Linked DNA regions of Notamacropus eugenii. The protein of the gene in region 3 interacts with the protein of the main gene of each other region in a pairwise test. Links are inferred from orthologs where the notes say so. Each region holds a gene or a part of one and is shown on either strand. Other genes may lie near its edges.

Evidence for each region.
Region 1: the proteins of TRIP6 (region 3) and FRS3 interact in binary tests that used the Homo sapiens proteins (3 or more experiments, as listed by UniProt). The two-hybrid records come from large-scale screens. The link is inferred for Notamacropus eugenii from reciprocal best matches to the Homo sapiens genes TRIP6 and FRS3.
Region 2: the proteins of TRIP6 (region 3) and SIK3 interact in binary tests that used the Homo sapiens proteins (3 or more experiments, as listed by UniProt). The two-hybrid records come from large-scale screens. The link is inferred for Notamacropus eugenii from reciprocal best matches to the Homo sapiens genes TRIP6 and SIK3.
Region 4: the proteins of TRIP6 (region 3) and PRKAA2 interact in binary tests that used the Homo sapiens proteins (3 or more experiments, as listed by UniProt). The link is inferred for Notamacropus eugenii from reciprocal best matches to the Homo sapiens genes TRIP6 and PRKAA2.

What each region holds. Positions count from the first base shown.
Region 1 is NC_092873.1:102,751,464-102,759,075, reverse strand, and holds the start of FRS3 (fibroblast growth factor receptor substrate 3), read left to right. Parts: upstream 1-4,594; 5' UTR 4,595-4,987; intron 4,988-4,993; exon of another isoform or gene 4,994-7,612. UniProt on the Homo sapiens protein: Adapter protein that links FGF and NGF receptors to downstream signaling pathways. Involved in the activation of MAP kinases. Down-regulates ERK2 signaling by interfering with the phosphorylation and nuclear translocation of ERK2.
Region 2 is NC_092876.1:135,012,661-135,019,674, reverse strand, and holds the start of SIK3 (serine/threonine-protein kinase SIK3), read right to left. Parts: upstream 3,019-7,014; 5' UTR 3,004-3,018; coding exon 2,734-3,003; intron 1-2,733. UniProt on the Homo sapiens protein: Positive regulator of mTOR signaling that functions by triggering the degradation of DEPTOR, an mTOR inhibitor. Involved in the dynamic regulation of mTOR signaling in chondrocyte differentiation during skeletogenesis.
Region 3 is NC_092873.1:79,910,888-79,918,298, reverse strand, and holds the start of TRIP6 (thyroid receptor-interacting protein 6), read left to right. Parts: upstream 1-4,410; 5' UTR 4,411-4,548; coding exon 4,549-4,654; intron 4,655-5,001; coding exon 5,002-5,084; intron 5,085-5,175; coding exon 5,176-5,301; intron 5,302-5,517; coding exon 5,518-5,895; intron 5,896-6,408; coding exon 6,409-6,508; intron 6,509-6,639; coding exon 6,640-6,809; intron 6,810-7,073; coding exon 7,074-7,252; intron 7,253-7,411. UniProt on the Homo sapiens protein: Relays signals from the cell surface to the nucleus to weaken adherens junction and promote actin cytoskeleton reorganization and cell invasiveness. Involved in lysophosphatidic acid-induced cell adhesion and migration.
Region 4 is NC_092873.1:516,705,568-516,712,876, forward strand, and holds the start of PRKAA2 (5'-AMP-activated protein kinase catalytic subunit alpha-2), read left to right. Parts: upstream 1-4,291; 5' UTR 4,292-4,388; coding exon 4,389-4,482; intron 4,483-7,309. UniProt on the Homo sapiens protein: Catalytic subunit of AMP-activated protein kinase (AMPK), an energy sensor protein kinase that plays a key role in regulating cellular energy metabolism.

The DNA.
Region 1 (7,612 bases), about 23 Mb from region 3:
AGGGGAGAGTTGGTGAAAATTTTGGAACTCAAAATCTTGTGGAAATGAATGTTGACTAAAATAAATAAATTAATATTTAAAAAACATAAATGCTTGAGCAACTAGGTGAAGGCATAGCACATAGATCTCTGGGCCTAAAGTCAGGGATTCATACTGAGTTCAAATCTGTCCTCAGACACTTACTAGCAGTCTGACACTGGGCAAGTCACTTAGCCCTCTTTGGTTCAGTTTCCTCATCTGTAAAATAGTACACCACTTCAGCATCTTTGTCAAGAAAACCTAAAAAGGAGTCACAAAAAGTTGGACATGACTGAAACAAATGAACAACAATAACAATAGATGCTTACTGACTAGCTGCTATTACAAAATTAGTTTTGATCTCATGGACCCTTTGAGAAGGTCTTAGGGACCTCCTGGGGCTCCCCATCATCTTTTGAGAACTGCTACCCTAGACATTCATTTTTCTAAAACCATTCAATCTCTTTTGAACCACTCCCTCCAAGAATTCTCCTTTCGACTTTGTGAATCCAAGATTCATCACTGACTGAAGTAATAAAAGACTGTCTTTTTCTTAATCCCTGATTTAGGTATCATAACCCTAATCACTTAACCACTTTCTAGATGACTCCTTATTAGGTTGATTAGAAGACAGGGACCTGGGAGTAGATTAGAATGAACAGAAAGGATTTCTGTGCCAGACATTGTTTTGAATTGGCAGGAAATCTGTGATAAGTGTTTCTTATCCAGATTAGTTCAAAGGCAGAATAAAACTGCTTTCTTAATAGTTCTAAGGACAAACCCCCAACAAGCCCCCCGCCCTCCCCCGCCACAATGTACATGTAGCACAAGGACCTTCTATGTCAACAACTACTTTTCAGAGGCAAAGGAAAAAATTGGTAGAATAGTGGCAGACAGAAGCTCCTAAGAAGTCCTGACCTACTTAAATGACCTATTGGGAAGATGGGTGTTTAGGAAGATACTAGATCAGGAGGAAAGAGCAGATCATAGAATCTTAGTACTAGAAAGAAAGTCATAGGTGGCCATTTTATTTTTGCTTGCCTCCTTATATATAAATTGAAGGGGTTAAGTCAGATGGGTTCCTAGGTATTTTCCAGCTCTAATTCTCCCAAGGTAGCCCATTCCATTTTGGGATAGCTTTCAATATTAGGAAATTTTTCTTTACATCAAGCTTAAATGTACCTCTTTGTAACTCTGAGTTCTGTTCTCTGGGGTAAAGCAGAAAAAAAATCTAATTTCTCTTTCATGTGATAGACCTTCAAACACTTGAAGACAGTTATCTTGATCTCTCTAGGTTTTCTTTCTTTAAACTTCCTTCTCCGGGGCAGCTAGGTGGTGCAGTGGGTAGAGCACCAGTGCAGGAGTCAAGAGGACCTGAGTTCAAATCTCACCTCAGACACTTGACACTCACTAGCTGTGTGACCTTGAGCAAGTCACTTAACTCCAATTGCCTCATCCTGGGTCATCTCCAGTCATCCTGATGAATATCTGGTCACTGAATTCAGATGGCTCTGGAGGAGAAGTGAGGCTGGTGACCTGCACAGCCCTCCCTCACTCAAAACAAAGTCAAGTGCAAGTCGTGTCATTATTTCTCTGATGGCATGGTGTTCTCTAGCAACGAAGGACGGACACACACAAAAGGGTGGGTGGGTGGGATTTAGTTTGTTTCCACATTCCTAAATCCATCCTTCTTTCAAATTCCCCTTTTTTTCATCCAGAACCCTAGAATCTCAGTTTCTCAGGCTCTTATTCTTCTCCCTATGCGTGTCTCTCTGCTGAAGTAAAAATTGTTTTCTTCAAAGTTACAAATGACTTCTTAATTGACACATTTGACTTCCTTTTTTCATCTTTATCTCTTGAGTTCTCTGCAACATTTGATACCGCTGATCAGCTGCTTCTTGTAGATAACTTACTTTCTCATTCTACATCAGTTGTAAAACCCTGTAATTTCTACCTTCACTGCACCTCTTCTATAGTCCCCTTCTCTTTGTTCACATAGCTGTCACCTCAACCTTGGGCGCTCACTGCCCTGGGTCTCTCCCCACTCCAATCTATCCTCTCCTTAGCTGCCAATATTTTCCTAAAATGGAATTCTGTCCCAACTCAGTTTACTCTAGTACCTGTTTATTAATGTTCATTATTCATTTTTGAAAAGGACTAATGACCACATGGGGCGATGACTTGACTTGGATTTAAGTAAGGCAGAATTGCACAATTCTCCATCTCACTCTCTCTTCCAGAGTAATCAAAGTCCAGTGCCAAGGCAGAAGTCAGGACAACTGGCAATGGCCTGGGATGCAGTGGATGACCTTGGTGTCTTCAATGTCTGACCAAGCTCTAAGCACCCCACAGTGCCTGCTTCAGCTGCTTTCATGTCTGTTATAAAAACTGTTCTCATCCTCACAGCCTACCTTGGGAAGTCTTCATATACTTGAGGTAGATATCCTTCTAATTCACCAGTGGCTTCGAGGCCTGTCAGTTACTTTCAACCTGGTTTAGCCTGTCTACTCAGACCATTTTACTGGGGGGTGTGATCACTGGGCATGGCACAGCTTCCTGGAGCCACAGGGGAGAGTTAGTGAGACAGATGAATACCAAAGATGCATGAATAGCCTGAAAAAGGCTTAGTAGGTCCTCACACTAAAGGTGCTAGTCTTCCCTGAACACCCCATGCATCCCTATTATTATATATTATTACATACTCTCTATTGCCTCCAGTATTGAATATAAAGTCCTACCTTGGGCATTTAAAGCCCTTCAGAACCTGTCCATTCCAATCTTCTCATGTTTTATCCCTCTCCAGAATCCAGCAATGCTGGTGATATGGATACAAAGGTGGCCTAAGGGTTAATATTAAGGGTTGAGTTTTCAGTACTTTGAGAGGCCGCTCCTAAGTTTGAGGGCATCCTAAAGTCTCTTCCCCTTGTGTGTGTGGGAAAGCACGAACCCCTTTACTCAAATTGACGACTCAGAGGCATCTCAAGGTAAAAACAGAAAAATCTCCTTTATTCCGTTCTTGTGAGAAACCAGGAGGTACCTTCATCAGTAAAGCAGGAGTAGGAAGGAGCCTTACAGAAGCAGAATGGCAAATTTATATAGATGCTGACGTGAAAATTCCCCTCCCACCACTGACTATTATTCTCATTGGCTGAGAAGTAAGGTCTTACATTCTAGGCACGAAATCTAACCAATCCCTTTTGAAACCCAGTTCAAATTTCCCACTCCTGGACGTTACAAAGCCTGTGAAAATACACATCATTATATGCAAATTAGGCATTGATAATATATGCAAATGATGCATTGACAACTCATACAAATTGGGCATTGAGAACTTATGCAAATCAGGTGGACCTGTGTGAGGACTGCAGACTGCCTGCGCATATGCAAATTAGGTATTGAGGAGTTAGTGAGTCATATCCAATCATTGATCCTAAAGCAACACATAGCCTTATATGGAAATCACCTGACTCTGGAGGAAGGGAAACCTGGGCCCAAGGTCTCTTCCACTCCAGAGAGAAGACTCCATATTCCTGAGAAGTCTTCACTAAATCTGTTCCCATTCACCCTTATCTTGAAATACCATAAAACTTCCCACTTATCCTGGACTATAAAATTCCTTGTCTTCCCCCATCCTGGATCATAAAATTTCTCCTGTCTCCCTTATCTTGTGTCATCCATCTTCCTCATCCTGTCCCTAAATCTCTAACCCGCATTAGAAACCCTAAAAATTACATCACCATCCTACAGGCTATATAACTTCTTCTCTATATAAGTCTGGTTCTTTTCCTGTATCACTGCCTTTGTTTAGCTCTTTGTTAATCTCAGACTCTGCTGCTTTTGCGTCAATAAAGCTCCCAATGGCTACAGAGAAGGTCTAAGTGAACCCTTTCAAATCTGAACCAGCTGTCCCAACTCTGACCTCAACACTGGCATACTTTAACTTTCTTCTCATCCTACACTCCATCCCTATAGCTAATCATTGATTTCCCACACGCCTGGGATGCTTCCCTTTGCCTCCTGGCTTCCTTTAAGACTCATATCAAATGCCAGCAGGGGGCCTTTCCCGGGTATTTCCTATGCCCCTCCCCCCAACCCTCAGTGCCTCCCCATCTTTGTGACCCTAGGCAAGTCACTTCCCCTTTGCCTCATTTTTCTTCTTTGTAAAATGGGAATAATAATGGCACTGCTCTGTTCCGGGGTTGTTGTGAATATGGTGTGAGGTCCTCTCCTGCCCTGACAGCCCTTGCTCTGCTGTGATTATAAAGTCATATGTGTAAAGCATTTCACCAGCCTTAAGACATTATACGGATAGTTATTATGCCTTTGTTAATGAATGCTGATTGGCTCAGCCTCGAGCGCCCTCTGGCGGCCCCTTGCGTCTTCGCTCCTTGCAGCAGCAGCCACGTCCTCTAGAGGGAGACCTTCCAGACTACGCTCTGCTCTCTGCGCCCTGGGCCTGCTGCTCGCGTCTCGTTGGTACGGTCAGGGCGACCTCTGACCCCGGAGGCTGCGGCAGCGGCGGCGGCGGCGGCGGCGGCGGCGGCTGCAGCTGCGAAGGGAGGGGAGGGGAGAGGCGGAGCAGGGCGGGGCGGGGAGGCCTCCGCTCTGGGGCCGGCGCTGGAACCGGAGCCGACCCGACCCGACCCAGGAGCCGGGAGTGGGGCCCCTGGCTCCGCCTGGACGGCGGGGCGATGTGAGTCCGGGGCGCGCCGGGCCCGGGCCGCCCCCTCCTCCTCTTCCTCTCCGCCCTCGGGGAGCTGCCCTCGGCCTTGAGTTGTGGAGGAGCCGGGCCTGGGCTCCGAGACCGCGGAGGGGGGAGGGACCCGTCCCCGCCCCCCGCCCGTCCTTGCAGGCATCCCTGAGGGCAGCCCCGAGGGCTGGGGCGGCACACCCCCGCCCCCCTCCTCCACGGAGGACCCCCACCCCTCCCCCTCCCCGGGATCTCCCAGCCCGGCTTGGCCTGAGCAGGGTGAGCGCAAGGACCGGCGTCCAGCGGGCCGGCCTTCTCCATTCTTCAGGTCTCGGAGCTGAATCGCTTCCCTGCCAGGGAAGGGGCCGGGAGGCTTGGAGACTGGAGGGGCCTCGGAGCCAGCCTGAGGATGGAGCAGAGCAAGGGTTGTCAGGGCGGGAGGGGCCTTAAATCACAGAATGTTAGAACAGACCTAGGTGAATGGCAGAGCTGGGAGGGACCTGAGAACCTAGAATGTCAGAACAGACCTAGAATGGCAGAGCTGGGAGGGACCTGAGAACCTAGAATGTCAGAACAGACCTAGAATGGCAGAGCTGGGAGGGACCTGAGAACCTAGAATGTCAGAACAGACCTAGAATGGCAGAGCTGGGAGGGACCTGAGAACCTAGAATGTTAGAACAGACCTAGAATGGCAGAGCTGGGAGGGACCTGAGAACCTAGAATGTTAGAACGGACCAAGATTGGCAGAGCTGGAAGGGACCTGAGAACATAGACTGTTAGAACGGACCAAGAATGGTAGAGCTGGAAGGGAACTGAGAACCTAGACTGTTAGAACGGACCAAGAATGGCAGAGCTGGGAGGGACCTGAGAACCTAGAATGTTAGAACGGACCTAGAATGGCAGAGCTGGGAGGGACCTGAGAACCTAGAATGTCAGAACAGACCTAGAATGGCAGAGCTGGGAGGGACCTGAGAACCTAGAATGTTAGAACGGACCTAGAATAGCAGAGCTGGAAGGGACCTGAGAACCTAGACTGTTAGAATGGACCAAGAATGGCAGAGCTGGAAGGGACCTGAGAACCTAGACTGTTAGAATGGACCAAGAATGGCAGAGCTGGAAGGGACCTGAGAACCTAGACTGTTAGAACGGACCAAGATTGGCAGAGCTGGAAGGGACCTGAGAACATAGACTGTTAGAACGGACCAAGAATGGTAGAGCTGGAAGGGAACTGAGAACCTAGACTGTTAGAACGGACCAAGAATGGCAGAGCTGGAAAGGAACTGAGAACCTAGAATGTTAGAACAAATATAGAATGGCAGAGCTGGAAGAGACCTCAAAACATAGAATGTTAGACCATAAGGCAATATAATGCTAGGACTGGAATGTACCTTAAAACAGTAATGTCAAACTCAAACAGAAAGGGGGCCACTGAACCATTGATAAGGATCCCTATGGGCTACCTACTAAATCAAATTTTAAAATGTAATGATATCTGTGGATTTTTTTAAAAATAATTTTATTTATTTTGCTAAATGTTTCCTAATTACATTTTACTTGGTTGTGGCCACGGACATAATTGACACCTTTAGCCAAAGAACATTGGAGCACAGAACTGTTAGGATTGTCAGCAGAACACAGAATGTTAGAACACAGAACTTGTAATGTTGGAGATGGAAAGATGGAGCTAAAAGGTACCTTAGAACATGGAATGCCAGAAAACAACATAAAATTATAGGGCTAAAAGGAACTTTAGAACTTAAAGTGTTAGAATATGAAACGTAGAATGTTAAAGTTGGAAGGCCTTCAACTCATCTCAACAAAGGCAGAAACTGAGGCCTAGAGAAAAAAAGTAACTTGCCTAAAGTCTATACAGCTAGTAAGGGCAAGAACTCAAACCCCAGGCTCCTGTTTCCCTGGCCTGTGCTCTTTCTATTATCATATTATCACTCAAAAGGACCTTTGATCATCTTGCCTGGCAAGTTTCAGTAGGTAACAGTCCTGATCTCTCTCTCTCTCTGCAGGGCAAAAGGGTTCATGGAGGTGTCAGGTAGGTTGCCCAGAAATTGTGGGAGACAGTTTGGCATAGGCAAGGTCTGTTTCAGAGCAGAAATAGTCTAAAAGTATATTTGTTACTGTTATGAATTGGATTGATTTAGAAAACAAAGTATTTCCTTATGATTTATATTGTGTAATGTAATGGAAAGAGCACTTGATTTGGAGTAGATCTGAAGTCAAATCCCAGCTCCATTACCGTCATTGTGTGACCTAGAAAAAATTATTTGCTCATGTGAAACAATATTACCAATCTCAAATTTTCCCATTTGGAACAGTGTTACAAATTATATCTAACTTGAATTAAATTATCTTTAGTGTACTTTATAGCTCTGTTTATGAGAAACTGATAAAACAAGAGGGTGCAATTTCAGCAGACTGACGGTTTGGGGGTGATTTTCTCTCCCTCCTATTCAGATAACTTCTTCCTGGAATCAGGAAGACCCAAGTTCAAATCCAGTCTCACAAACTAGCTATGTTACCTTGGACAAGTAACTTTGCCTGTTTGCCTCAGTTTCCTCAATTGTAAAGTAGGAATAGTAATAGGACCTACTTCTCAGGGTTGTTTTGAAGACCAAATGAGATAATGTTTTTAGAAAGCACAGTGCCTGGCACATAATACTTTATATATAAATACTTAATCTCCCCCCCACCCCCTTATAGATGTCTAGGGCTTGCATGTTCTGAGATTCAGATACTATAGGTCCTGTGGCCAGAGGACCCAGGCACTATAAGATCTTCAATAAGGGAGCACCTTAATAGGGCTCTAGTAAATGGAAAGAAAATTTCTCTCCAGAAGAAGCAAATAATAATTTGTGCCTTACCTGTCTTGTAAAAGTTTTTTGATAAGTT
Region 2 (7,014 bases), on a different chromosome or scaffold from region 3:
AAATACACTTCATTTATATCTTCAGAGTTTTTTAAGCAGCAAAGGATAAGTCACTTGTAACAGTAACTGGGAAATTAAAAGCTACTATATAGAAACACAGGGCTTATTGGTGTGGTTCTATCATGTATGCAAATCACTATCTAAGTCATTTAGGTCTCATTCAAGACTTCGAATATTTCCATACTTAGGAATTGCTAAAATCTACACCACAAACCAACAGAGATAAAAAGCAACACAAACAATGACACCCATTTATAAACAATCTGATATTTAAAATGTTTCAGAGTCCTAAAGATACCAAGGACTCACAGAGGAACAATGAAAAAGAAATATTGGAAAATTAGAAAACAAGGAGATCAGTGATAATTGAGCTCCAGCTTTGCTGACTACCAAGGATAAAAAGAATCAAATACCTGAAATAATATTTAAGACAACATTTGACCCTGTTGTCACTGATTTAATCAATATTCAGAGATATCCAAAAGTTAGAAGACACAAAATTCTTTAAATCACAAATTAGTGTATGGTGTTTATCCCACAAGGGTCAACAGAGAACAATATGCTCATTTAAGAGTGAAAAAAGAAAATACTAAAACAAAATAACGACATGAACTATTAAAATTGTTTGTAAACATTGGGTTAGTTGGTGGTAAAAGAGACTGGTAAGTTTAACTGGTCAGTTTCACTGACATGGGTTACAATTCAAGTAAACCCTCAGCTTAGGAAAACATTTTTAGGTTTTCATTTTATTCTAACCTCAAGGGCCTATGGCCCAAAGATGAAAACTAAGAAAAAGTTTGAAGGGAGTCCCCTAGAGGAAGTGAAACTGACCAATCAATTCTCTCCCAGCTATACACCCTGGAGAGGAAGGGCTCTTGTATTCTTTGACAGGAAAAAGAAAAAAAAAGGAACTTCAAGGTTGCAAGGGAGTTAGAGAAAAAAGGCCCAGATAAATCACTAATTCCTGAAAATAAATGTTCTCACTACAATAATAAGTAGAGAGAAAAGATAAGTGATAAGAGCCTAAGGGGTTGGAGGAAAAACTAGGCTTTGGCAGAAGAGTCAGCAGCCATGGGGGTTCTGATCAAGTCACAAGTCAAACTTGAGAAAAATAACAAACAGAATGAATGTGTGCATTCAAAAGACCACAAGAAATCAGAAAATTTGGACCGTAGGTTCTATCAGCTGCGTGATCTTAGGCAAATCATTTTGGTCTCTTTGAGTCTCAGTTTCCTCACTTCTAATATTAAGGAGTTGGCCTAGATTCAGGATCGTTAACCTTTTTGTGTGTGTGTCATGGACCCCTTGTCAGTCCGGACCTTCTCACAAAGCCTTTAAATTCGTAAAATCAAATACACTGTCTCACAAGGGAAACCAATTATACTGAAATACGATTTTAAATATATTAAAAGTTTTAACTTCACAGATCTCCTAAAATCTATCCACAGACCCCTTGGGAATTCATGGACCCAAGGATAAGAACTCCTGGCCTATATTATCGAAAAGGTTATTTCACATGCTGAAATTATCTGCAGCAGAAAATTCAAGTGAGAATGACCCAGGAAAATGAGGACCTGGGAGACTGAGAGCCTCAGAGAAAAACAACAGGCTGTTTCCTGGCAACAGAAAAGATGGAGTTGGTAAGCTCTATCAAATTCAAAAAAATCCACCTGATTTCAGATTCAAACAATGCCCAAGAGAGGAGGCTGCAGGAAGGTGCTGCTCCTCCTTTCTCCAAGAGAGAAAAGACGAGGGGATAAACAACCAACAACAACCTAGGGAGGTGTTACCTGCAACACCAATACCTCTGTTCCTACAAATATCCAGATGCCTTGGTCTTGGTGAAAGAATACTTTCCCCTACCAATACGCACCTCAACCCCAAAGCCTATCCTCTCCAAGATTTCCTTTCCCATTCGCCCTGTAGAATCTTTCCTCTTCAAATTCCACCGCTATCTTCCCAGGCACAATCTCCTAGGGAAATCAAGAACCTCCAGAGTGCCATTTCCACGTTCCCTATCCCTGTGCTCTTCAGGAAGTGGTCACCCCCTTTCCAGACTGGTACAGCTAGGTCCGTCTCTAAGCAGTGCTTGACATCCACAAGCTGCTGACACTTGGGGTCTCCCCAAACCTGTGATCCCCGGAATCCAACCAACCATTCCCATGCCATCCCAGATTCAGCGTCGTCTGTTCCCCAATCTCCCAGCGCACGGACGATCCCCCGATCCCCACCACGACGAGGTCCAGGTTGTCCAGGGTCTCCGTCTCCCCCGCAACCGCTTTTCAGGCTGGAAGGACCCCAGCACGGCCCCGGGGCCCCCCGGGCGCGATCTCCCCATTTCCTACTTGCCCATGGTCCTCATCTCCTCCCGGCCCCGGCCGCCCGGGGGTCCTCCAGCCCCTCGCCCGCAGGGCTGCCCAGGCTCCTCTGGGCTCCCTTGCGGACGCGTCCGCCGGCCCCCCGGGCTTCCCCGCTTCCTGGTCCCCAGTGACTTCCCCCTAGCTTCCCTGCAGCCGCTGTCTCTCTCCGTGCCTCGCCCCCTCCCCCCCCGGCCGGGGGCGCCCCTGCTGCCCCCCGAGCCGGCGCCTGCCCTTGGCACCTCCGGCCGCCCGCCGCCCCTGCCCCCGCCGGGTCCTCGCCGCTCCCCGCTCGCTCCGCCAACATTCGCTGGCCGGCAGCCCCCGCCGGCCCGGCCCGGCAGCACGCCCCGCACGGCCCCGCGCCGCTCGCTACCTTGGCCTTGGTGACGAGGTGCGTGGCCCGCTTGACCACGGCGAAGTTGCCCTTGCCGATGGTGCGGTCGATCTCGTAGTAGCCGATGCGAGCGGGCATCGGCCCGCGGGGGGCCGGGGCTGGGGGGCGCGGGGTGCCGGCCGAGGGCACCGGGGCGGGCGCGGCCGGGGGTCCGGCAGCGGGCGGGGGCAGCAGGCGGGCAGCCGGACCGACTCCCCCGGCCCCGGCCCCCGCAGCCCCGCCAGCTCCGCTTGCCGCCGCCGCCGCCATCTTGTTGTGCAGAGAAACCTCCGGGACCGCGGGGAGCCGGGAGGGGGGCAAGGGGGCGGGAAAGGAGGGGGAAGCGGGGAAGACGTCACTGGGGAGGCGGGGCGCCCGCGCCGCCCGGCGCCCGGCGCCATGGCAACCGCGCGTCACGTGCCGATTCGCGTCACTGCCCGGATCCATGGCAACCGTGACGTCACCGCCGCGCTCTGGCTCCCCGCGTGGGCCCAGGTTTGCCGGGCTCCGGCTCCCAAGCGCCCTCCTCTGGGGCCGACGCTGCGGCTGCCCGGAGCGTGCTAGCCAAGTTCGAGTTACCAGTGCGGCCTGGCCACGTGACCAGTCTCTCCCAAAAGACCTCCCTCAGCCCCTCCCAGACCCCACCGCTCTTGTTGAAATTGTACCCGAGTTTGACCCTAGTTACCACCCTCTCCTCCACGTGTGCCCTAGATTTCATCAGGGCCCTGCTGAGGCTTCCCCGAGTGATGCACCGTCCGCGGAGGTTACACACCTTGGCCACTCGACTAGCCGTGTGACCGTGGGCAACTTATTTCAGCTCTCAGAGCCTCAGTTTCCTCATCGGTAAAATACGGGAGCTGGAAGAGGTGACCTCTAAGTTCCCTTCCTGTTCTAAAAATTCTGTTTCTCCTCCAGTGACTCACGACCCACTCACTCCTTAACCCCCTTAGCAATCTCACTACCGCCCCCACCACTCTGCTGAAACTGCTTCTTTGAGGTCACCCATGACCTAATTGCCAAATCCAATTACCTTTCCTCCGAGTGAACCGCATGATGGAATGGAAAGGGCTCTGTCACTTTAACAGCTTTGTGACCTTGAGAAAGTAACTGCCTCATCTCATCCTGTTTTTTCATCGGTAAAAGGAGGAATATCTTCAAGGTTCCTTCCATGTTCTACACTAGCTCATTCATCTCTGCATGACTTGATTCTTGAAACTGAGACCTTAACTTGGAAAGACCAAGGTCCCCCTTAACATCCTGGGCCATCTCCAGTTGTCCTGATCTTTGTGGGGCCACTTGACCCAGATGACTCTGGAGGAAAAAGTGAGGCTGGTGACTGTGCACAGCCTGCCTCACTTAAATCCAATTCATCTGCATGTCATGGCATCACCTCCCCGATGTCGTGGTCTTCTTCCAGAATGAAGAAAAAACAATAAAAGCAATTACAAACAATTTGACACCATTTGACCATTATTCCCTGAAATTCCCCTCCCCCCTTAACTTCAAGAGCTGGCTCCTTCTCCTTCTCCTAACCCCTAAATGAGTATATTCTCCCAAGACCCTCCCTACTTCTCCTTTTCCATGATTTTATTTGTTTAAAGGTTTCAATTACACCTTCTGTGGTATATGACTCCTCCTTTGTCTATAGTTTAACCTCTCTCCTCAACTATATAACCTCACATTTTCTACAAAACACCTCTACTTTGTGGTCCCACTGCCATTTCAGGTTCAAAATGTCCAAAACCAAAGGCATCATCTTCCTTAGGAAACCACATCCTTTAATGGCATGATCAAACTCTTCAGCAGGAGACTCTAAACCATTCTTCACTGGGCCTCACAACTAATCACTTGCCAAGTTCTGTCAATTTCACTTCTGCTGTGTATCTCATGTCTGTTGCCCTTTTCCAGTACTCCTGTCATCACCCAAGCTAGACCTTCATTATCTCTCACCTGGACTGTCACAACTGGATCCTAACTGGTCTCCCTACAAACGATGTCTCCTTCCTTTGAGTCATCCTGTGCCCAGATGCCAGAGTGATACTTTCTAAAGTACAGTTCTGATCATGTAACGCTCTTCAGACCTGACCATATTCCTTCAAGAGTTTGCTAGCTCATCTTCTTCAGTTCAAATCTGGCCTCAGACACTTATTTAGCTGTGTGACCCTGGGCAAATCATTTAACCCTGTTTACCTCAGGTTCCTCATCTATAAAATGAGCTGGAGAAGAAAATGACAAACCACTCCAGTATCTTTGCCGAGAAAACCCCAAGATGGGGTTGAAAACAACTCAATAACAACAAAGCAAGGTAATTACTACACAAGGAAATGAAATTGTGAGATACTGGGGGTTAACAAAACCTGTATGAAGAAGAACCAGGATTTCCCTGTTTCCTTTTCCTTGGCCACGAGAGAGACTTCCCATTGACCATCCAGGAACAGAGAGCCACTGCAACTAGACATGTTCCTGAGCAGTGGCTGGTTTTGGTCATTAGAATCCTAGGTTGTCATGTGAGAAACAGGAAACAGTAAGCTGCTGAGGTCAAGTTAAGCCTCTGAGACCAGTCTCCTGGGAGGTGCTGGCAGTCTTAGCAGCTGCTGCTCCTTCTTCTGCGCCTCCTTTTCCTCCTCCTCCTTCTTCTTCCTCCTATCATGCCTATTTATTGAATAAACAGAGGACAAGACTATCCTCCAGGACCTCCTTCTACACTCACTCACCAATCATGGCCTGAATTCACTATTTTTTTTTCCTAAACATTAGCTTCTAAACTCTCTGACATCTAGCTTCTGACTTCATCATGCAAATGAAACCACCTTCTCTCTCCAAAGTTACCAAAGTCTCTTAACTGCCAAAGAAAGAGGTCTCAACTTTCTCGATTGCTTTGTAACATTCCACATTAACTACCTTTTTTTTCCCCTATATATTCTCTCATCTCCAGGTTTTTATGAGACTTCTCAGTTCTTCTACTACCTATCTGACCCTTTGTCAGTCTCCTTTGCTGGATTTGCATCTAAGTCAAGCCCATTATGTGTGTCCCCCAAGTTTCTTTCTTGGACCCTCCTTTTTTTCTCTCTATGGTCTCTTACTTGGTGATCACATTAATTTCATGGATTCATTTATCTCTATGCAGAGGAGTCTCAGATCTGCATATCCAGTTCTAGTCTCTCTCCTAACCCTACATTACCAAATACTTTATTGGTATTTCAAGCTAGGTATCCATAGAAATCTCAGATTCAACATGTCCAAAACAAAACTCATTCTCTTTCTCACAAAACCCAGCCTTCTTATAAACTTCCTTATTACTAGCAAGGGCATCATCATCCTTCCAGTTCCTCAGGCTCATAATCTTGGAATCATCCTTGACTCCTCACTCTTGCTCTGCATTTCCAATCAGGTGCCAAATTATGTAATATCCTTCTCAAAATCTCTCTCATGTGTCTTCTCTCCACTAATACAGCATCCCCCTTGGTACAGGTTGTTGTCACTTCTCATCTAGACTACTGCAATGACCTTCTAATTGGATTCTATCTCAAGTCTCTCCCTACTCCAGTCCATCCTGCACATAGCTGCTGAAATGATTTTCCTAAAGCATAGGTCTGACTATATAGATACCTTCTTCCCCACTCAATCACCCCCAATGGCTTCGTGGTGTGGTACCTTTAGAATCAAATGTAAAGAAGTTTGTTTAGCATTATGAAGCCATTCACAACCCAGTCCCTTCCTTTATTTCTTACTCATTACTCCCCTCCATGAACTGGACAGTTCACCCAAATTAACCAACTTGCTGTGGCTCACACAAAAACTCCATCTCCCATCTATATGACTTTGGACTATTTGTATCCCATCCCTGGAATTCTCTCCTTCTCCTAACCTCTGCCCTTTAGAATTCCTAGCTTCTTTTAAGATTCAGATCAGGTTCCACTTCTGCAAGTGACCTTTCCTGGTTCTCCCTCACCCCTAGTTGCTAATGCCTTCCCTCTAAGGCTGCCTTCCATCTATTCTATTTATACATACCAAATTATGAATCTGTGGAGCGCAAAACCTTGCATTTACACTCCTAACCCACAAAGATGCTAAGGTGGCACAGTGGATAGAGTGCTGGGCCTGAAGTCAGGAAAATTCATCTTCCTGAGTTCAAATCTGGCCTCAGACACTTATTAGCCATGTGACTTTTATCCTGTTTGCCTCAGTTTCCTCATCTGTAAAATTAGCTGGAAAGAGAAATGGCAAACCACTCCATTATCTTTGCCAAGAAAACCCCACATGTATATGGTCATGAAGAGT
Region 3 (7,411 bases):
GTCCATGTGAACATTTGAGGTGGATACTCCAAATTTGCACATCCTACTTTTCTTTTGTGCTGTTTCAATTCTGCTTTGTTCTAAGAGCACAGCACCCTTTCTGATGTGGGCACGCCATGCTGAGCGGTCCTGTGCCAGTGTCTCCCATGTTGCACAGTCAAATCCAAAATGCTTGAGAGAGACCTTGAGAGTGTCTTTGTACCGCTTCTTCTGACCACTACATGATCTCCTGCCCCATGCGAGTTCTCCGTAAAATAGTCTTTTTGGCAAGCATACATTTTGCATTTGAACAACATGACCAGCCTGTCCGAGTTGAATTCTCCGAAACATAGTTTGAATACTTGGCACTTCAGCTCCGGCAAGGACTTCAGTGTTTGGTACCTTATCCTGCCAGGTGATCCTCAGAATCTTCCTAAGTCAGTTCAAATGAAAGCGATTCAGTTTCCTGGCATGGCGCTGGTAGGCTGTCCATGTTTCACAAGCATATAACAATGAGGTCAGCATACCTCTGTAGACCTTCAGTTTGGTAGTCAGGCTAATACCTCTTCTCTCCCAAACTTTTCTTTGGAGCCTCTCAAACACGGAGCTAGCTCTGGCAATGAGTCTGTCAACCTCAATATCAATGTGTACATCCCTGGGAAGTACACCACCAAGGTAAGTGAACTTATCCACAGTACTCAAGACTTCTCCATTTGTTGTAACCAATAGTACCACATATAGATGGTGTGGTGGCGGCTGATGAAGTACCTGTTTTCTTGGTGTTTGCCAGGCCTAGAGGCCTGTGTGGGCTACCCGAGTCTTCTTACCTCACCTCCGAGGTCTTCAGTTGGCCAAAACCGGATGCTCATATGAGAGAAAGGACGTTCCAGAGTCGAACAAGGGTTGAGCTTTATTTCAGGGTCTAGTTACAAGTGCAGGGGGGTCTTCCTTAGGAGGAAGAGGGGGAGATTTCCTAAGGAGGCTAAGATCTTAAGGGATTGGAAGTAGAAGTACAAGCGGGGAGAGAGGGGGAGGGGAGAGAGAAGAGAAGAGAAGCGGAGCCTACTGTCCTCTTGGCTCCTCACGTGCTAAGAGAGCTTTCAGGCTTCCTCAATCCTACTTAACTCTCCAGCAGCATAGTTTGCATCTAAATACCATGCTGTTAGATAACAATAGTGTGCCCAGATCCGGGACCATCTCGAGGGCGGGGAGATCTCTCTCCCATCACGTTTCTCATGGGGAGAGGCGGAAATACCCGAGCTAGCTCGGTTCACCTCTATTCCCTGCCGTTTCCTGGGAGGGTCTCGTGAGAGCTCTAAGATTTAGAAGCTCCCACCTTTACCCGCCCGAGACTGTCCACACGGAATTGAGCTTCCAATCCCAACAGGTGTTAATTATTAGGCCAAAATTAGCACAGGCAGCAGAGAATTGATCCATACTTTGGTACACTCAAGGTCTACTGTATTTTGTGTTGTCTCTAAGTGTGCACATGTTCCATGTGCCAGTGGTGAGTGGAATCATCTTTGCAGATGTTTTTGTACATTTTGTACATTTTTTTATGTTTTCACCGCAGAGTAGGATTCCCTGCCTGCCGTGGTGATCAGGCCAAGGTTGGATAAGCAGACAATTTTTAGGGCACCTTTTCTACCCTCCTTCGTCACACCAGGAGGTGAGCAGTGAGATCCTTAAAAGACTGCTCAGACACCAGGAGGCTGCCAAGTCCCACTGCTGCTTCCAGTGAGAAACGACCCTACAGCCTGGGCCGCCTGTGTGCAGGGTTGTGACTATAGCTCCCAGCAGCACCTCCTGCTTAATCACTTGCCTGTCGCCACAGGAATTTGAGGTATAATAGTAAAATAGTAAGGGTGATATCTTTTGATTCATGTGTAAATTGGATTTAAGTGAGGCAGAGTTGCACAGAGTTGTCAGACTCACTCTCTCCTCCAGAGTCATCATAGTCCAGTGGCAGGACAGTATCAAGATGACTAGCAATGGTTCAGGATACAATGGATGACCTTGGTGTCTTTGGTGTCTAACCAAGCTCTAAGTGCTCCACATTGCCTGCTTGAACTGCCTTCGTGGCTGTTGGAACAAATTGTTCTCATCCGCCCAATCCACCAGGGGAAGTCTTCACATGTTTGGGATAGACACCCCCCTAACTCACCAATGGGTTTGAGACCCCTTTGGCTACCTTCAATGAAAGGTTTATAGACAGGTGAATGCCAGATCAAGTGGGAAGATTCAAGGAGAGTTCAAGGGGGCTCCCAGAGCCTATACCCCATCAGAATGATGCCCAGAAAGTTATAAAAGGAGTGCATACCCCACAATTCAGCTGTACCACCACTAGGCCTATATCTTAAATAGCTCAGCAAGAGAGAGAGTGGAAAGGGACCTAATTATATAAGAATATTTAGACTGGATCTAGTAGCCAAAAATTGGAAACTAAGAGATTTTCCTCCTATGGGGGGGAAAATTATGGTATTTGACTGTAACAGAATATTATTGTGCCATAAGAAATGAGAATTTGATAATTTCAGTGGAAAACTGAGATGACATCTATGAACAGATGCACTACTGGAAAAACAACTTATACAATGCCACCGTTATAAAGAGAAGACCCCAAAATTTTACATCCTGCTGAATCTCAAACTGTAGTACAAAGCAATAATCATTAAAATAATTTGGTCATGGTTTAAAACAGGAGAAATCAAACAGTGAAATAGCTTGCGTACACAACACAGAGAAGAAAATAAACATAGTAGCATTGTTTAGGAAAAACCCAAAGACGGGATGAACTGATGGACTTTAAAAAGCAGAAACAAACACTTTTCAAGAATGGCCAACGTGGGAATTTATTTTGTACACGTATGAAGACAGTTTTATTTACTTATTTTTTTGCTCAGTAGGGCAAGAATGGGAAGGGCAGATTACCAGTTCGTGTAAGTATGCATGTGCATATATATATATGTGCGTGTGTGCATATAATGTATTTTTTTTTAAAGAAAGGTGAAATGGACAGACCAAGACAAGCACAGGCAAGAGTTAATTGAGAATCTGGGAGCGTCTTTATTAGCCGGCAGCTGTCCTCTAAGGGGGCAGCCCTGAACAAAGGTGTGTGTGCCTTTTAAGCATCTTAGCACCTCTGGGTACAGCTTTGTGGTTCCAAGAGCTCACATTTTTCACAGAACAGTTTTGACAGGGGTTCCTAGGTACTGCTAGGCAAGTGGATGCAACAGAGAGGGGGGCCCAGGCAGCTGCTAGGCAAAGGGGTACAACAGAGATGGGGGCCCAGGAAGCTGCTAGGCAAAGGGGTACAACAGAGAGGGGGGCCCAGGCAGCTGCTAGGCAAAGGGGTACAACAGAGATGGGGGCGCAGGCAGCTGCTAGGCAAAGGGGTACAACAGAAAGTGTAGCCACTAACAGTAAGTGGCTACTAGGCCCAACCCTGCCTAGAAACTCAACAGACATTTCTCAACCCAGGGGCTCTGGAGCCGGGGGGAATAATGTCCATTTCAAAAGGAAGTAGAAAGCAGCTTGGGCTGGGGTAGCCTTGGTACTCCTTTTTTTACTTGACCAGTTGTGTTTGTCCTTCTGGAAGAGGACCTTGACATCAAGGTGATGACACGCCTTGCAATTGACTTTGATTTGAGGGAGGCAGGGCTGTGCAAGGTCACCAGCCTCACTTTCTCCTCCTGAGCCATCTGGGTCCAGTGGCCTGACATTCATCAGGACAGCTGGAGATGGCCCAGGATGCACTGGGAGACCCTGGCCCTTTCAGGCTAAGGCCTTACCACATTCTCACTTTGGGTGAGACACACCCATTCAATGAATGCGCTTCTTTAAGTAGTTGCTCAAGGGATGGTCCCTTTAATAAAAAAAAAAACCAAAAACAAACTGGGAGAAGACCCTCGGGGTTCCTAGGTAAAAGAGAAACAGTTACTATTTATTCAGTACTATTTAGCATTTGGCCAGTGGAGGGAGGGAATGCAAGGGCGAAGCGTGGCAGGCTGTGTGAGCTGCAAGGTAGAGAGCCAGGGGCGGGGGCCACCCGCGTGGGTGAGTTGGTGAATCCAAAGAAAAAGGTGTGGGGTTATTATGGAGCCTTCCCAGCCATCCCAGGTCTTTCTTGGTCTTCTTTCTTCAACTCTGAGCCCAGGCTCAGCCCCCAGCCCCCAGCCCCGCAGGACCTCAGCCCCCTGCCCCCAGCCTCCATCCCCAGCTTCCCGGGGAAGCCCCAGAAAGTGGAGCTAGAGGAGGGGGCCTGGTCAGAGGGAGACCGTGGGGAAGTCGGTGAGGGGCTGGGGGCTCGGGGGGAGGGGCAGAGGCGTCTCGGGCCGCCACGTGATCCTCATCACTTAGGAATGCGGTGATGTCACTGGGGGCGTGGCTCTCCCCCAAATTGATGTTGAAGAAAAAAGAGAAGGCAGAAAAAGTTTCTTCTGTCTCGGAGCCGGAGCCAGAGCCGGGGTGGAGACCAGAGAAGGGGGCCACCTCCGTGGGCGCCGGAGGAACGCCACCGCGGAGTTCCCACGCGCTCCTCCACTCGTGGCGAGAGCCGCCTTGCCTGCCATGTCCGGCCCCACCTGGCTCCCCCCAAAGCAGCCGGAGCAGAGCAGGCTCCCCCAGGCACGAGCTCTCGTGCGGGGCACTCCCGGCCCCTCGGCCCACGGAGCAGGTAACGGGCACGTCCAGCCCAGGACCCAGGGAGTGGAGGGTGCCCGATGCCCCCCTGGTCCTCGCTTCCTCCGGGCCCGCTGCTTCCCTTGCTTTTCCTACGCCCCTGCTGCAGACCCTCGTGCCCCACCCCCACCCGCCCCAGCAGGTCTCGCTGCTTCCCAGTTCCTTTCTCTTAGCACCTGGGCTGTGCAGACAGGAAGCCTCGGGGAGCAGTGAATCGGCCCCACGCCCTCCCTCCCTTGTTCCTGGAACCCTGCTTTTCTCTTCCCCTTTCCTGGTCTTCCTCCTCTAACCAGCGCCCTAAGCCCACTTCGTGTCTAGGCAGTTCCTACCATTTCCCAACAGAGCAAGGCTATCAGGGCTCAGGCCGACCAGAAGAACTGGCACCAGCCTTGGGGAGATGCCCCGGAGCCTCCCAAAGCATACAGGTGGGAAGTCGAAGGATTTTGAGGTGGGGGCTGTATGTTTGGGTTCCCAGGAAAAGGGTCCAGAAACTTCCTCATTTCTTCTTGACCACAGGGGCTTCGGCCAGACAGGGGAGCCGTACACCTAGGAAGTCTGGATGCAGAGATAGATTCACTGACCAACATGTTGGCTGACCTGGACAGCAGTAGGGGCCATGCCCCATGTCGTCCAGACAGACAGGTGACTCCCTCCCAGAATCCTCCTCTTTTGCCTCTGCAATAACATACCCTTGGAAAACAGAAAGATCTTTTCCCCTATAACTTCTACAAGATGTCAAATCCCCTAACCTTTTCCATTCCAGGGCTTTTGGGTTGTGTCATAATATATGAGCATGAAAGAAGTCCAAGTTGTCAAGGTAGATCCCACTCATCCTATGGTATCTTTATTTCTTTTTAGGCATGCGAGCCCCTTCGGCCCCCTCCCTACCGTTCAGGTTTCCTGAAACCAGGTGGAGGAGTGACCACTCCACCAAGGGTTCCAGCCCCATCTTATGGGGGCCCTACCCCTGCCTCCTATACCACAGCCAGCACTCCAGTTGGCCCTGCCTTCCCGGTCCAGGTGAAGGTGGCTCAGCCTGTGAGGGGGTATGGTCAGTCCTGGCGGGGTGTCCCTCAGGCCTCTAGCCCACCCCCAGCTCCTTACCCTCCTTCAACCAGTTGGGCTGAGTCTTGGGGGGGTTCCTATGAGGGGCACAGAGAGCTCAGGGCCAAAGAGGAGAATGTTGGAGCCTCTGGCCCAAGAGGAGGAAGAAGAACAGGAGGATATATACCTAAGGTGAGGAGGATGTATACCCAAGGTGAGCCAGGAAGACTGGCCATTGATGGGAAATGGGTGGGAGTGATTCTACAGTAGGGGTGGCAAAACCCCTTAAAGGAAAGTTGGGTGGCTAGGAGAGAGGAAAGAGGCCACTCAAGGGACCAAGGTGGCCTGGGTTCTTCCATTTTCTTTGGCTATTGTGTTTGAAGATGAGAGAGACCGTGCAGTTGGTTCTCATGGGAGGAACCCTGGATTTGGGGCTAAAGGACCCAAATGTGAGCTCCAGCTCTTTAACACTTACTGAGTGATTAAGCAAATCCCCTCACTCCAACTTCCTCCTCTTTTACAATGAAGATAATCATACGCCTTATCTACCTTAGGAAATTCTAAAGTGCTATTCATTGTAAACTGTTCTTTATTATTATGTGGTTCTCTGCAATACATAGCTCCTCCTTCTTGGAGATTTGGGGGCAGGACAGGGGACAGAGGGGATTGAGTCTCATTCTGGTCCCCTTTTCCCATGCCCCCTAGCAGGCTGCCCCCAGCAGGGCTCCCCCTGAGGAAGAGCTGGAGAGACTAACCAAGAAGCTGGTACATGACATGAACCATCCACCCAGTGGGGAATACTTTGGTGAGCCAGGTTCTAAACATCTGCATTTTTTTGAGGGGGGTGCAGGGATGTTCTGGTACTCTCTAGACTAAAATTGAATCTCTCTTCTTTCTTCCCTTCTCCCCCTCCCCACTCCCTGCCTTGCTCCTTAGGCCGATGTGGGGGCTGTGGGGAGGACGTGGTAGGGGATGGTGCTGGGGTTATTGCCCTCGATCGTGTCTTCCATGTTGGCTGCTTCGTCTGCTCCACATGCCGGGCTCAGCTCCGGGGCCAGCACTTCTATGCAGTGGAGAGAAAGGCGTATTGTGAAGGCTGCTATGTGGTAAGTGACAGGAAGCCAAGGTTCAGAGTGAAGGAAGATTTGGGATCGGAAAGAATTGCCAAGCTAGGGAAGTAGATAATTTAGTCCATAAGGGCAGCTGGGTCTGAATGTGGACTATGCCAGGTAAGGTACATGTCTTCAGATTATTCCCTATAGGGTTTGAGACTCAGTTGAGTGTCAAGATGTCGGGAGGCTGGGGATCCAGACATTTGGGTTCTGGCAGGGAGTTTGACTGGAAAGTTGACTGTGGGACTTCTTCAACAGGCTACTTTGGAGAAGTGTTCCATGTGCTCCCAGCCTATCTTGGACCGGATTCTACGGGCCATGGGGAAGGCCTATCACCCTGGCTGCTTTACTTGTGTTGTGTGTCACCAAGGTCTTGATGGCATTCCTTTCACAGTGGATGCCACCAGCCAGATCCACTGTATTGAAGACTTCCACAGGTCCTGATGATCCCTGCTCACTCAGCCTTTCCTTCTCTGTGGTCTTAACAACTCCATTCCCCTATCTCCATTCCCCCAAATCTTTACCCCATTCATAGGGATCATAGAAATCATATAGTGTCAGAAGAAACTTGAGAAGCCACCTGGTCCAACCTTTCA
Region 4 (7,309 bases), about 440 Mb from region 3:
TTGAGCTGTATCTTAAAGAGAAGGATTCTGGGAGGTAAAGGGAAGGAAAGAAGGCATCCCTTTCCAGGTTGGTGAATGGGATGAAGATGAAGAGTAGGAAGATGGATTGTCCTATCTGTGAGAGTGAGAAAGCAGGCCCAGTTGTCTGGATCCAAGAGTGCAGGAGGAAGAGTAATGTCCAGTGAATCTGGAAACATAAGTTGAGGCCCAGATTGTATAGGACTTTGAAAACTAAGTGGTGGGTTTTCTATTAGATCCTAGAGACAATGGGGTGGAATGAGTAGAGGGATCATATGATTAGATCTGCAATTAAGGAAAGTCACTTTGGCAGCACTAAGTAGGATAGACTAGAATAGGAGACACTTAGGGAGGGAGACCAATTAGGAGGTAGGTGCCATCATCCTGGTGATGAGAACTGAAGTGGAAGCTGGGTGCTTAGAGGTAGAAATAGCAAGATCTGGGAAATTATTGGCTATGTGAGGTAAGGGTAAGGGACAAGTTAAGGGTAATGTGGACCTGGAAGACTGGAAGAATGGTGGTACTTTGACAAAATTGGGGAAATTTGTAAGAGTGGAGGGTTTTGGAGGAAATATAATAACTTCAATTTGGGATACGTGGAGATTAAAATGTCTCCAGGACATACAATTTGAAATGTCCAATGGGAAATTGGTATAGGGGGACAGAGGCTCAGGGGAGAGACTTGGACTGGAAATGTAGTTCTTGGAGTCCTCTGAGTGGAGATGACAGTTAAATCAATGGAGCTGAAGGAGTGAAAAGTGAAAAAAGAGTGACAAGAATTTAAAATAGAACCTTTTGAAATACCCACAGTTAATGAATAAACTTGTAAAGGACTGAGAAGGGCTCTTCAGTCAGTGTCAGGAAAATCCAGAGGATGGAGCATCCAGGAGGAGAAGACAGTCAACAGTGTCACATTCAGCAGATAGGTCAAGAAGGATGAGAATTGGGAAAAAATACAAACAAAAACCAAAATTCCACTACAACAGAATTGGCACTTAAGAGATCTTGGGGAACTTTGGAGAGAGCAGTTTCATCTGAGTGATGAGGATGGATGCCAGCTGGTAAAGGGTGGAGAAGAGAGTGGGAAAGGAGCTTCTTCATTCAGGGAAGGTAACCAGCTTTTTCAAGGTATTTGACCAAGAAAGAAGACGAGATACAGGAAGATAATTCAGGGGATGGTAGTTTTCAGTGAAGAGTTGTGTGGTTTTTTTTTTTTAAGGATGAGGAAGACTATATGATATATTTGAAGGCAGTCCCGACAGGTAAAAGAAGTTGAAGGTTTGTGAGAGAAGGGGGTGATTAAGGATGTTGGAGAATGGGGCCCAGGGGTTTCACTGGGGACACATGTAGAGGGGTTGGCTTTGGCCAAAAAAAAAAAAAAAAGAGCCAAGACCTCTTTGTCAGAGACTAGGGCAAAGTGGGGGAGAGTGGGAAATAGATGACAGCCAAGGGATCTGAGATGACAATAATGGATAAGAGAGAGAGAGAGAGAGCTCACTTTGTGTAGACCTAATTTTCTCAGTAAAGAAACAGGCTTCCTGAGAAAGGGAAGTGTGGGAGGTTGGGAGAAGGGAAGGGCATAAGCATGTGTCTTGGGCCTTCCATGTGCCAGGCACTGAGCTAAAGGCTTTGTGGAGATATTATTTCATTGAATTTGAGGTTGAAGTTTCTATCTCTACAATCTCTCTTCATCTCTCTATTGACCTCATCCCCTCTGACCTTGGCTACTGATTATAACATAATGAGTTTCCCTGCCTCAAGTCTCTGCATTCTCCTTTGAATGTTTGAATGTTTGAATGTAAGCACAGATCTGACTTCGATACTCCTGTGCTCAAGAAGCTCCAGTGCTCTCTCTCTATTGCCTTAGAATTCAAATAAGCCTTCCTTCATGTGACTAATTCTCTTCACAATCTGACTTTAGTCTACTTTTTCAAAGTCTTTTTATATTTAACCATGGTCTCTGGTGCAGTAAAATTGGGCCTTCTGCTCTGCTTTACTCATAACACTCTGTTTCCCATCTCCAAGGCTTTGCCCTGGCTGTGCTCCATGCTTGGAATGTCCTCTATCCTCACTTCTATTGGAATCTCTAGCTGTCTTAAAGCTTGGTCTACAGAAGTCTCTTCTGATTCTCTAAGTTGTCAGTACCTTCCCTTACCCAGGATTACAGCGTATTTATTTAGTATATGTTTTCTTCAAACAGAAGAACCTTAAGGGCAGAGACTGGGATTCTTTTTTTGAGAGGGGAGGGGTCTTTGCATTTCCAGCACCTGGCACATCAGAGGAATTTAATAACTGTTGGGTAATTGATTGGTCACCCAATGATCTTCTGGAATGTGATTGTTCTCTGATGGACTAGCCTCATGAAGTTGTCAGCTGCCTCATCAGAGATGGTACTCAGCAAGCTATTGGGTGTTATAGAAGAGGCTTGTACAGTTGGGCTGGATATGTGGAGTATTAGAAAGATGGCCCTGGCCTTTGGAGTCAAAGAGTCTCCAAAGAGACAGTTTGAGTCTTGTTCCGTCTCTTAACAGCAGTGTGACCTTGGGCAAATAATTCTCCCTCTTCAGGCTTTTAACAGAAAGGGGTCAGATTAGACCAGGGGTGGGGAACCTGCAGCCTCTAGGCCACATATGGCCTTCTCGGTCCTCAAGTGCAGACTTTTGATGGAGTCCAAATTTTACAGAACATTCCTTTATTACGGAGATTTGTTCTGCGGAATTTGGGTTCAGTCAAATGGCCAACCTTGAGGATCTAGAAGGTCACATGTGGCCCAGAGGCCAAAGGTTCTCCATCCCTGGACTAGACCTTCAGTGGTCAAGACTCTTTAATATGAACTTTCTCTCACCTTTCTGAATCCTTTATCCTTTAAAGTTATGCCTATAATGATCCCAGTCATAATAGAGGTGTTTAATCATTTCAGCTGTCATAATTAGTTAATAATTAATATAAAGCAATTAAATGATATGCTTTAGATTCTTTGTTGTGGTAGAGCTTCAAGAAAGGGAGTCAACACAAAATGATCATTTGACTATTTGGTAAACACAGTACAGGCAGTACAGGAATATTAACTAACAAATTGTCATGACCTTTCAAAAAAGACCCTATTGTCTATGAGCAAGGGGAAGGACCAGTCCACTCTTCCCTTTCTGGAGTCCTGGAGGAGTGAGCCTTAGCCAAAGAAAAGCTCATTTATCACAACAGAAAAATGTGAACTACCTGTTTTCTCTCCATAGCAATGAAGGGAGAGTGATTCTGAAATGATCTTTCTGGGTACAATAAGCAACAATGACCATCTATCAGCTTATGAGATGGGCTCTGCTTCCACCACACACAAGAATAAACTTAAAGGTTTGGAAAACACTTAGACACCGCATCTATTTGCTGCTTTTCAACAAGCTCCTGTTACATCCTTTCTTATGAATAAATAGAGGTGATCCCAAAGCTCTAATAGCCTTTATAGCCATGCTAAGGCTTTGGGGACCCTTTATTTAGTTCCTTCCCTGAAAGGCCAGTTTAGAGACCTGAGTCCCATTTCCAGAAAGGGAATTTCTATTAATTAATGTCATCTGCTCAGTGACATTAAGGCCCCTCCACACAAACTTTATTAGTATCTGATTTAGCCTCAACAATTTCCACAAAATACAGAGTCATCTAGGATCCCAAGGAGCTCGGTTTTAGCACTCACTCTCTCTACCTGCCCGCCCCTTCCCTCACATGACCTTGGTATTGAAGGGGCAGCGAGGACCCCACTTCTGTAACTCACTTTTTTCTCACAATTCTATGCAAAGACAGCATCCTTCGGTAAATGCCTGGATTTCCAGGAGCTCCTGGGAGGATTCTGCCCAAATTAGCACCAGACAGGACTTGGGGCAGGAGGTGTCAGAACTGGGAATGTAAACCCCCCCCAGATCCCTGAAGGCACAGGCCAGGGGTCCCCGGCGAGGGCTGCCTCCGTTCCAGGATCCTAACAGACCGCGCTGCGGAGCGAGGTGCGGGGAAGCGGCGGACTCGCTTGGTTATTTATTGGATACTTTGTATCCCTCCGGGTCTTCCTCCCTCCTCGCTCCCCCCGCCCGCTCCCCGCCTCGCGCGGCCTCCCTCCCTCCTCCTGACAGTTCGCGCTCCCCCTCCCCTCCCGGCGCAGGTCTCCGGCTCCCTCGCCCCTCCCCTCGGGGTTCCTCGCCCCTCTCCCCCCCGCCCCCTCCCCGCTCCCGCGGCACTGTGGGTAGACAGCAGCCCGGCGGCGGCGGCCACTCGGGGCAGCTCCGCGGGGCGGCTGCGGCTTCGGCTTCGGAGGCGGCGGCTGGGGCCGGGCCGGGGCTCGGCCGTGCGGAGGAGGGGCCGGGCTGGGCCGGGCTGGCGGGCGGACCATGGCGGAGAAGCCGAAGCACGACGGGCGCGTGAAGATCGGCCACTACGTGCTGGGCGACACGCTGGGGGTCGGCACCTTCGGCAAAGTCAAGAGTTGAGTGGGGGGCGCGCCTGGGCGGGGGGGGCACAGGGGCGTCCTCCCCCCCGGGCCGGGTGCGGGGTTGGGGGTCACCTGTGCGCCCCTCCCTGTGTACACCTGTCCGGGGGAGGGGGCGGTGGGGGCCATCCTGCCCCGGAGCCAAGACTGGGGGGGGGTCACCTGTGCGTCCCACTCAGTGTACACTGTCGGGGGAGGGGGCTGTGGGGTCGGCCCTCCCCCAGGGCCGGGTGCAGGGCTGGAGGGGGGTCACCTGTGCGCCCCACGCAGTGTACACCTGTCTAGGGAGGAGGCGGTGGGGGCGATCCTCTCCCAGGGCAGAGGCTGGGGGCGTCACCTGTGCGCCCCTCCCTGTGTACGCCTGACTGGGGAAGAGGCGGTGGGGGCGATCCTGCCCCGGAGCCAAGACTGGGCGGGGGAGGGGGGTCACCTGTGCGCCCCAGGCAGTGTACACCTGTCGGGGGAGGGGGCTGTGGGGTCGGCCCTCCCCCAGGGCCGGGTGCAGGGCTGGAGGGGGGTCACCTGTGCGCCCCACGCAGTGTACACCTGTCTAGGGAGGAGGCGGTGGGGGCGATCCTCTCCCAGGGCAGAGGCTGGGGGCGTCACCTGTGCGCCCCTCCCTGTGTACGCCTGACTGGGGAAGAGGCGGTGGGGGCGATCCTGCCCCGGAGCCAAGACTGGGCGGGGGAGGGGGGTCACCTGTGCGCCCCAGGCAGTGTACACCTGTCGGGGGAGGGGGCTGTGGGGTCGGCCCTCCCCCAGGGCCGGGTGCAGGGCTGGAGGGGGGTCACCTGTGCGCCCCACGCAGTGTACACCTGTCTAGGGAGGAGGCGGTGGGGGCGATCCTCTCCCAGGGCAGAGGCTGCGCGCCCTTTCGTAGCCCAGCTGTCTAGGGGGAGGGGGAGCGGGAGCGGGAGCGGGGCGCTGCGGGGGCGTGGTCGGGGCTGGGTCACTCGGGTCCTCCCCGCCCCTCCCACACCTGTCTCGGAGGTTTTGGCTCGGGCCCCAGCCCTGCCTCTGGCTACCTGCGTGACCTTGAGAGGGGCCTGGCTGCTCTGGGGCTTCTCGGGGCACTCCCCCTCTTCCTAGGGTGGGGCTCCCCTGTGTTAAGTGCTTAGGCACCATGGTCTTTGGTCCCAGGTTCACCTCCTAACTCTGCTGCGTGAACGTCCTCTATTTTTCACTCTGTGAAAGGAAGAGGTTGTACCCGTTGGTGTCGGGTCTCTCCCACCTGGAGCCAGGATCCTGGGCAGCAAGTGAAGCAAAGCTTCTGGTCCTGGATGACCTTAGGCCGGCCCTTGTCCCTCCCTGGGCTGCTGGGAGATCTGGATGCCAATCCAGCCGCAGCTCTGGCTCCTGGCTGGGAACACCGGACAGGGCTCTGCCCGCCCCATCCTTCTGCCTTCGTTTTCTCCCTCCTCCGTGTGGGATGAGAAATGCTTGTCCCTCCCAGGCCGGGCACTGGCATACTGTGGGGAGAGAGGGCTATGGCAGAGTGCATAGCTGGTGGCATCGCTACGTGGTAGCTCGCTGGGATCACAGAGGCACCTTGACCCAGTAGATGCCGGAGTTACTACTGCTAGTCTTAAGAAGGAGCTTTGCGTTCAAATCCCAACTCTGGCACTTCTTAGCTGGATTAAAATGAACAAGTCAATCTCTTTTAGCCTTAGTTTCCTCTTCTGTAAAATGGAGTTAACAAAACTTAGAGTAACTAGTGCACCTAGTGGTCTTCAGGCTCCAACAAGATAGTGTATGGAAAACACTTTTTTATAAAATGCAAAAAGCCTTATTATTCTTATTTAGAGTATGATAGGACCATTATTATAATATAAATCTAGTACTGCTTTAAATTTCCCCCCTACTGTCTTTCCTTCTAGATGCATTTATTAAGCATCTGCTGTGTGCAAGTCTTGAACACAAAGGTGTAAGACAGTTCCTTGTCCTCATAAAGTTTACATTCTGGTGGGAAGGGAAATACAATCTATGTAAAAAAGTAAATAAAAAATGTACAAAATGAATCCATAGTAATTTTGTGTAGGGGTGAGTATAGTTTGGTGAGTGAGAATGAGGTTGGAGGTGACACTGACGGCACTAATTCCTAAGAAGATAACATTATTCCAAAGACAGGGACAGCCTCCCTGTGTAAGGTCCCAAAGACCTGGCCTGCAAGGTTCTGTTCTCCTCCAGGCAGCAGTAGCATCCTCCCATTTCCATAAACTCTGTCTGTGGCCTGCTGAAGGAGTTAGTATCCTGGCCACTCAGGGACTGAGACAGCTAGCTGTCTTCAGGCTGTGGTACAGAAGAGGAGTGTGATTTATTCTGCATGAGTCAGGAGAAAAGCAACAGGGGCAGGTACAAGCAAGGAAACATCAGCCCCACAAAGAAAACCTTGCTTCCACTGTTCCAGTAAGTTGACTCAAAATGGAGTGAGCTGTTTTCAGTGTAATGAATTCTAATTCTAAAAGTGTATCGTGTGAATGTTTTCTTTTGGGGTGGGGCGGGGAGCTGGCTGTTAACATTTACCAGCACACCACAGGCCTCAATCATCCTTCATTTGTGTGAAACCAGAGGTCTTTAGTGGAGTCATATGGGGATAGATGAGGGTTGAAATAAAGGCCTTCTGAGGTTACTTTGAGCATGCAAAGTTCTATGATAATCAGGATGGCAAGGGGGATTCTGAAGCTGCCTCTAAGTGGTTTGAAGGCAGTTTGCTGGAAAGGTCTAGCCAGCTTTTGAGAGCCAGCATGGTTTTAGTGGGAAATGTAACACCTGGGAGTCAGAAGACAGAAGACCCGTGTTGCAGCCTGAACTGCTGCTAACTCC